2 linked regions of the Arabidopsis thaliana genome follow. The protein of the gene in region 2 binds, or shares a complex with, the protein of the main gene of each other region. Each region holds a gene or a part of one and is shown on either strand. Other genes may lie near its edges. The genes, in order: AT2G39960 and AT2G22425.

Region 1 (4,946 bases), 7.2 Mb from region 2:
CTGTTACTTGTCTAGTGGAGCTTCTAGGTGGATGGTCTTAACTTTTCCTGTCAGGTCCTACTGTCATAGCTGTTTTCTTCTTTGATTGTAAACTTTGGTCGCATGTATAGTTCATTATTGTAATTTGTTTTTTTTCCATTGTTTCCGTTGGCTCATGTGAATTTTGATAACACTCTCACTGTGCAGATCGGTTAATGTTCTTATGACGAATCCGATTTGGGTGATTGTTACGCGTATGCAGGTATAAATGGCTTCATATACACTAGTACCGTAAAGTGCTTCTTACGCTGTCCAGTCAATTTCAATTACATTTTCTTTGGTCCGTGGTAGTTTTAGTTTTGCGTTTGAGCATGAATCTATGGATTTTCTCTCCTCACTTTTATTTCTCCTCTTGATTTTTTGAATACTTGTATGCAGACCCACAGAAAAATGACAAAAGATCAAACAGCGGCCCCCGAGTCACCTTCTTCTAATGCAGAAGCTCTGGTTGCTGTTGAGCCGCGTCCATATGGGACCTTTAATACGGTATGAGGCAGCTTCCCGTATTTAAAAACTAGAAGAAGCTGGCTAGGGTCATATACTCATATCAATTATTATGAGTCAAATCAAACTCTATAAACCTCTCAATTAAGACAGTTTCTGTGATATTTGTTGAACAATGTCTCAGATTCGAGAGGTTTACGATGAAGCTGGAATAACTGGCTTCTGGAAAGGTGTAATTCCAACATTGATCATGGTACGTGAGCTTATGATTTTGAAGCTTCTCTTGTATTGTTTGTCTAGGTGCATTTTATTAATAATTAGATGTGTGTGTGTGTTTTTAACCCACAGGTAAGTAATCCGTCAATGCAATTTATGTTGTACGAGACAATGCTAACCAAGCTGAAGAAAAAGCGTGCCTTGAAGGGTAGCAACAACGTTACCGCTTTGGAGGTTCAGACTCTAGCATTTTGCTTTCGTTTTTTTTGAATAAGATGTTTACTTGCTTTCCAACTTCCCATGATTGTGCTTTCTATTTTCCACAGACATTTCTTCTCGGAGCTGTGGCGAAACTCGGAGCTACAGTCACAACTTACCCTCTCTTGGTTGTAAAGTCGCGACTTCAAGCCAAACAGGTCACAACAGGGGACAAAAGACAACAATACAAAGGTTTTCCCTCTTATCATGAAATGGCCAAAATAACTCATTTGTCAGTTAAAGCTAAGAGTTGCTGTGTTGGTTTTGAATTACAGGAACATTGGACGCGATTCTGAAAATGATTCGATATGAAGGGCTTTACGGGTTTTATAAAGGGATGAGCACAAAGATTGTGCAGAGCGTTTTAGCTGCTGCGGTTCTGTTCATGATCAAGGAAGAGCTTGTCAAGGGAGCTAAGCTGTTGCTCTCAAACGCTACCTCTAGCTAAGTCAAGTCCAAGCCTTCTTGAATGAACGCTAGTAGTTAGAAATAAATAAAAATAGATTAAATTTCCAATAGTTTTCTTGATTAATTATTACACTATTGGGATTGTTGTTCATTTCCTGATGATTGCAATTGATTATTGTAATTTCTGCAAGATTCTTTAGTAATGAAATCTGAATAAAGTTTGGCAGATTTCCTTTGTTCTTTCTTCAATAGAAAGAAATCTTCAGCATTTAAGTTTATAATAGTCAAATAAGGGTTTAATTAGTTGACAAAAAAGGTTTAGATGTGTCATTAGTTGACTTGACTACATTAAGCCCAGCAAGGCCCAATAAATTTCATCCATCAAAACGACATCATAATAAACGAGTTTTGACTGAAACGTCTTCTAGCTCCATCCAATATATCGTCTTCTTCCTCCTCGAACCAAAAACATCAGTCTCTCCTAGTCTCAGCGCTCGTGAAAATCTGAAACTCTGCGTTCGAATTTTCGAAGAACATTAGAGATCTGGTATTATCTGGATCCGATCTGTTCACCATGGAGGAGAAGAAGACAGAATCAACCAACAAGAATGTTAAGAAGGCCAATCTATTGGACCACCACTCGATCAAGCACATCCTTGACGAATCCGTCTCCGATGTAAGAATTTTCTAAGATTTTCCTTGTTCGTTGCTCCATATTTCTCTGATATGTGAATCTATGATTCGTAGATCGTTACGAGCCGTGGCTATAAGGAGGATGTGAGATTGAGCAACCTCAAACTGATTTTGGGAACGATTATCATCGTTGTTGCTCTTGTTGCTCAATTCTACAACAAGAAATTCCCTGAGAACAGGGATTTTTTGATTGGATGCATCGCATTATATCCTTTTTTCTCGAATTCAATTGATACTTTCTGCTTTCTGCTTGACTCTCATTTGGTTGGTTTCCAGTGGCTAAGATGAAATTTAAGAAAATTGAGATTAGAGAACTTGTAATGTGGCTCGAATTCTTTGTGCTTAGTTAGCATTAGATTTTGGAAAACCTTCTTGTATCTAAAGTATGACTATAGAAGCTGATCGATATATGTCTTGTATTTGGATAATTCTGAAGAAGATGTTTGGTCCTTGACTATATGACACGTATGTAGTGTTGAATGCGGTGTTGCAGCTGATTCTGTACACTAAGGAGAAGAATGCGATTTTGTTCACCTATCCTCCTGAGGTTTGGTCTCTGACTATTTAGAAAAGTTATTTCATTGAGAAGTTTCGTGGTTTGGGCTACATTCTTGTTTTGTCTATGATGCTACAATTGTATTGTATTTCTGTGATTTAGGTGCATAATGTACCTTTTTTCCTTGTTCACTTACTTTTAACTGGAGCTATAGTTTGAATTCTGGTGTCAAACTTTTGCATTCCTTTTGTTTTGTATTTTGTTTCTGCTTGCCTGACATGTTATGTAAAGTTTGCAACTTTGCATATCTTAAGGCATCTTTTTTTTTTTTTTTTTTTTTCATTTGAGCTCTAGGCAAAACTACATTTCCCTTTCAATGTATTGTTCAATTAGTTTTAGTCTTCAAACTTTAGATTTTGAAAAATAGTTGAACAAAAGTTTTTGATGTTTGCAATCGTTTCTGTCTTGTTTCTCGAAACATAATTGTTCAACTAAGTGGAGGATTCTGGACTGTAACTTGGGTGGTTTATTTCTCATTCTTACCAGCTTGAAGAAATTACTCCTCTCATTTAGTTAGTATCCGAGACGATGAGATTTTTTTTTCCAAACATTTCATTCTGTACTCGTTTAGTTAGCTCTAGGAAACATAACAAAAAGAGCTCAGACATTTTGTCTTTCTGAAGCCATGTTAAATTGATGCAATAATTTGGTTAGTGGGATTGCTTCATTTTGTTATGTCAAGACTCAAGATCCTAAAGCTCTCTGGTTGATATATATTTGCTCACTCTCATTTGTTTTGCTACTGTTCAAACATGTATGTTTAGCTCATCATTTGGTGCTCCTCTTTGGAAAAATCTTAAAATCTGATGGTTGATACGCAGGGATCATTCACCAGCACTGGTTTGGTGGTATCTTCAAAGTTGCCCAGATTCTCTGATCAGTACACTCTCACCATCGACAGTGCTGATCCAAAATCAATCTCAGCTGGGAAGTCAGTTCAGCTCACCAAAAGTGTCACCCAATGGTCTCTCTCTCGGCATCTTTCTTACAATTGCTCGCTCTGTTTTCCTTACATGAGTCTCATTAGATGGTTTCTCTGTGTGTTTTTCAGGTTCACGAAAGATGGAGTTCTTGTTGAGGGTTTATTCTGGAAAGACGTAGAAGCACTAATCAAGAACTATGCAGAAGAAGAACCAAAGAAGAAGAAATGATCATCTTCCAGAGAAATATATGCTTTTGAAACTCCATATGTTGGCGTTTTAGAATACTAAATCGATGGTGACTTTGTTTAGAGATGAAACTAATATTTGGATTTTTCCTTATAGCCAACTTTTTGAATTAATCCGAGATTTTATGATCACTATTTAGAAAAGAATAAAAAGCTTTACCTAAGTTAGTAAGCCAATGGCTCACATCAAGTATATGCTTGTCGTTTAGTTATTTGTACTAGATCATACATAAAAAAAAGGTCAAATGCTTCACGAATTGTGGATGATTTGATTCGTAATATTTTGTATGATTGATGATAAAACACCTACATATGATATGAGTGGCTTGGATGACTCTAGTCTCTTTTTAGACAGCCTTTTCTTTCTCGTATGGCTTGGGAAAGTTCATTTGGTGATTGTAGTTGGTTGGAGTCGCCTTTTTTTAGCACTTTTTGATTAGAAAATTTTCCATTTTCCGTTATAAAAAATTCCACAGCTTAACAAGAGATGGGTCTCTATGATTTTGCAAAAGTATTGAATAACTTTCTTGATGTAAGATGACAATCCAAATTTGGATATACAATTTTAAACATATAAAACTCCAAATAAAATAATGTAAAGAATTGTGTTTTAAAAGATACCATAATTTTTGTTTTTCCTGCTTTTCATAGTTCTAAATTCTAATCATAGCAGCGGTCAAAAAAAAAAAAAATTAATATAAAAATTTATAATAAAATAAATCTCTAAAAATATGGAAGCTATTAAACCAATTTTCGTTTGAAAAAACTTTCTCCTCGTATTAACATAACGTAGTGGAATTTTAAAATATTCCAAATCACATGCTATAATCCATACATTTTTTATCCATTCATTGGCCACAAAATACAACCTGTCCATCGCCGAAGATCAATTTCAACGAAAGAAAAATATAGGTTTGCAATAAAAAAAAACACAGGCCCATCCTTTGCTAGGGCCCATTAAAAGCTGACGTGGCACCAGCTCGAAGTCAGGTTTTGCAAGGAACCCACTCCTAAATTTGTAGGACCCACCATAGGATTCAATCAAAACGAGCCCCGGATCTCAAATGTTTTGAATAAAATAAATTAAATAAAATCGTTTCGAATCCGCCAGAACATCTAACCTATATAAACGTAAACGTTGTGCTGTTTTGGTTTTCTTATCTT
Region 2 (3,432 bases):
ATAAGATCCAAATGAACAGACAAAACCAAACAGAAAAGACTTCTCAATGTCCAATGAAGAATTATGGAGTCAACTTGTTATGTCTTGCGTATGTTTCCCAAATTTTCTTGTCCTATTCTCTTATGGAGTATTAGAGTAATATGCTTATTGTATGGTTTTTCAGGTTCACAACCTTTTACCCAATTCACACAGAAACCTCTTTTCTTGACCACATTGGTAATGACACTAGCCGAGCATTCAAGATATACGTTTGTCATATATACCTTGTATTTGATTTTGTCTCTAGAGTTGACTAGTTTCTTACAATCACTGAATTTTCCTCTATTGTTTATCCACATGATGTATTTTTTTTGCGATACCATGTAGATTTTGGCTATTGCTACTTCCGGAGAGCTCTCTCTTTGTTTGTGAATTTGCTTCATCCTTCTGGTGAAGGTATACTTTTCATATCCTCTGCTTCTTCCTAATGCTGACCTAACTAAACCACTCCTTTTTCTCCACAGCTCATTTACAAGCATCCTGCCAAATGTTGGTTCTCTCAAATTCTGATTCCAAACCTGTACGCGTTCGCTGATTCAACTGTCATTTCGTTTCATAAGCCTATGACCTACCTTTAAGCGTTCGCGTTCGCCAGATGACTCGAATCTCCCGGAATATGAACCCGTGCAAATCCTCTGACCAGCGACTAGCGGAACAGTTTGGAATCACACAAACTATTTCTACTTCGACTCAAGAAAATAAGAAGGAGCAAAGCATCAAAGACTAGCATTGGTTTTTGCACACAAGCTTAACACAGAGTGTAAATGGATGGTGTGATATTTATGTACCATTTTCATAAAAACTGAGACTTTTGTGATTCATAAGACTTTTTCATCTAAAACTCTCTGATGATAGATAATCTACACAATTCAGTGAAATTGCCAGATTACAGCCATAGCCATTGATTCAAAAGCAAATTCCTTTGGCAAAAACAGATAATTATAAGAATCAACCCAGAATATTCAATTCATAATTAAGATTCCGATCCACAAATATCTCATACAAACAATTCTGAGAGAGAGAGAGAGAGAGAGAGAGAGAGAGATTCAGAATCAGACCTATTTCTTAGAGAATTTCTTCTTCGAAGCAACACTGACAACTTCTGGTTTGGGATGCTTCTCGGCTTCGCTCGGATCTAACCATTTGAGAGGATGAAGATTGTAGAAAGGCCAATTAGGTACAGTAACCAAAGTCGTGAGAACAACACCACCGGCATAGATCAGCATCATCGTCCTGAACGATTCCGTTGTGTAGCCAACAACCACCGCTACAACGCCGGAGATCACCAGTAAGATCTGCATCAGCTGCTCCACCAGTTTCTGTCCTTGCCAATCCATTTTCTTCTACACAACGAAATCAAAAACCATTAGCGATTTGAATCCAAAGTTAAACAAAAGAGAGAATCTGAGAACCCTAATTGCACAAACCTTTAGCGATCTGATCTCTCACTGAATCTGTAAACCTGATTTTCAACAATGGGGAAGAAAAGAAAGGACTCTTGACATTTATGAGCTAAGACCACAAAATCGGTTTAAAAGTAAACCGGATAAAGTGGACGGTCAGATTACTCTATAACCGGGTGAACCGGCGGTTTTTAATGTGCCTTAATTATTTCGAGATTTTGTATATGTGCAAATTCTGAAACCTTGAAACAAGGAATATTTACATTTAAGTTTCTTTGTGTGTACCTCAGAATTAGAATGTTGCTACTTGTCCAGTCCATAATTTGTTTATTGGGACAACAACTTCAGTGATTAGATAATGTTTACTATTTTATAGACTGGTGTGACCAGATTGTAGCTTTAGCAGTGACCAGTATTCATAAACCAAAATCAAAGTTTTGGAGAACCAAGATCCATGGCATGTAGCTAAAAAGATTTGCATCAATTTAGAAGTCATAATTAAGATTTCTTCTCTTTACTAATGATAATTCAAGATACAAGCAATACATCAATAGGCCTTCTATTAACAACTCTACAATTAAACCTAATCTCACCAGGTCTCCCAGATTGCAAATCACCCAACTTCACCATGCCTTCTGCAAAAGCCCTAAAGAACTCATCTTGATCCTCACTAAACATCTTCACATACTCTCTCGTCACTAGATTCGTGTACAAAGTCTGATCAGAGTTAAGAAACCCTCTCCCTGAAACCAAGTCTTTGAAATACTGATTATCAAAAACCTGAGGTGTTGCATCTAGATCTCCAGTCACATTCTCATCTCCACCCAAAGGACAAAGCTTATCAAGCTTCTTACGGTAACTCGGTTCAAGAGCTGGATCCGGTTTACCAGAACCGGATTGGTTATAAAGTCTGAACATGATTGAAAAACACCGACCTTGACCTATTGAGTGTGACCCTGATAAAGCAACCATGTCTTTTACAGAAAGATTGAATCTTTCGAAGAGATCAATCAAGAAAGTTGCGTTGGCTCTTGGACTTGGCATTATATCGTCGGAATCTTGCTGACTCGCTGTTAAACTGTCTTTCCTCCCTAGCTTCACTTCCCAATCTGGTCCTCCTGTCTGGTTTTTTCAAAGACCAAAATTACAAAACCGAGATTTCACTAAACCGGGGAAATTGAATTTTGACTTACAAGAGCAACGGCGTCACGAGCGGCCATGATAACGATATCGGCACAAGAAACAGTAGCTGGACAAGCTTTCTCTAGAGCTTCTTTAATGTCGTCAACGACTTCGAAAGATCTTAGTGAATCGATGTTGGAAAGTGATAGTTTTTCACCAAGCATGTTTGGTGTGTCGTCAAGCAACAGAGATGCGTCACATCCCTGAATTTGATGATTCAAAGAAAAATTCAGAGAGGAAAACAGAGTAAAGATCAAGAACAGAGAGAAAGATTTATAGTGTTTACATTGACGAAACAGTCGTGAAATTGGAAACGCATGACGGAAGCGACGCTTCTTGCTTCTTTGATCATTGCTTTCTTCATTTCTCTTCTTACTATGGATTCAGCTTCAGGGCATGTCTCGCTGTAGAATCTTGGTCGGAGAGTTTCTCCAGTAACAACCACCGTCAAAAGTGTTAGGTAGAGGATGAGATGGGGAAGAAGAGACATACTTTTTTCTTTTTTGGTGTTGTGTTTCAGTGATTGAAGAAGAAGTAGAGACTTTGTTTGTTGGGTTATAAAGAGGTTTTTGGTGGTTTTCGAGAATGATACTAAAGGCTTTTGTGTTTATAGATGGAATTTGTGCAAGTGTGGTCTCTGGTGGTGGTGGGCATTCCAATTTCTATAATTTATTTCTTTAATAAATAGAAATAAATAAATAAATAAATAAAGAAATAAATTTTCTAATTATAGAATTGGTGCCAATGGGGGATTAGTGTAGTAATTTGGTAAAATTATGGGTTTGTGAAATTATTGAATGATGAATCT

Evidence for each region.
Region 1: AT2G22425 (region 2) and AT2G39960 share a complex: the UniProt entries of both Arabidopsis thaliana proteins name them as parts of the signal peptidase complex.

Annotation. Positions count from the first base shown.
Region 1 is NC_003071.7:16,680,485-16,685,430, reverse strand, and holds AT2G39960 (Microsomal signal peptidase 25 kDa subunit (SPC25)), read left to right. Parts: upstream 1-1,712; 5' UTR 1,713-1,939; coding exon 1,940-2,041; intron 2,042-2,112; coding exon 2,113-2,264; intron 2,265-2,523; coding exon 2,524-2,605; intron 2,606-3,435; coding exon 3,436-3,578; intron 3,579-3,665; coding exon 3,666-3,765; 3' UTR 3,766-4,135; downstream 4,136-4,946. Other genes in the region: PXN (Mitochondrial substrate carrier family protein), read left to right, coding at 187-241, 418-525, 668-736, 832-933, 1,026-1,149, 1,233-1,405. UniProt on the Arabidopsis thaliana protein: Component of the signal peptidase complex (SPC) which catalyzes the cleavage of N-terminal signal sequences from nascent proteins as they are translocated into the lumen of the endoplasmic reticulum.
Region 2 is NC_003071.7:9,513,023-9,516,454, reverse strand, and holds AT2G22425 (Microsomal signal peptidase 12 kDa subunit (SPC12)), read right to left. Parts: upstream 1,761-3,432; 5' UTR 1,467-1,760; intron 1,383-1,466; 5' UTR 1,377-1,382; coding exon 1,098-1,376; 3' UTR 781-1,097; downstream 1-780. Other genes in the region: AT2G22420 (Peroxidase superfamily protein), read right to left, coding at 1,971-2,564, 2,636-2,827, 2,911-3,114. UniProt on the Arabidopsis thaliana protein: Component of the signal peptidase complex (SPC) which catalyzes the cleavage of N-terminal signal sequences from nascent proteins as they are translocated into the lumen of the endoplasmic reticulum. Dispensable for SPC enzymatic activity.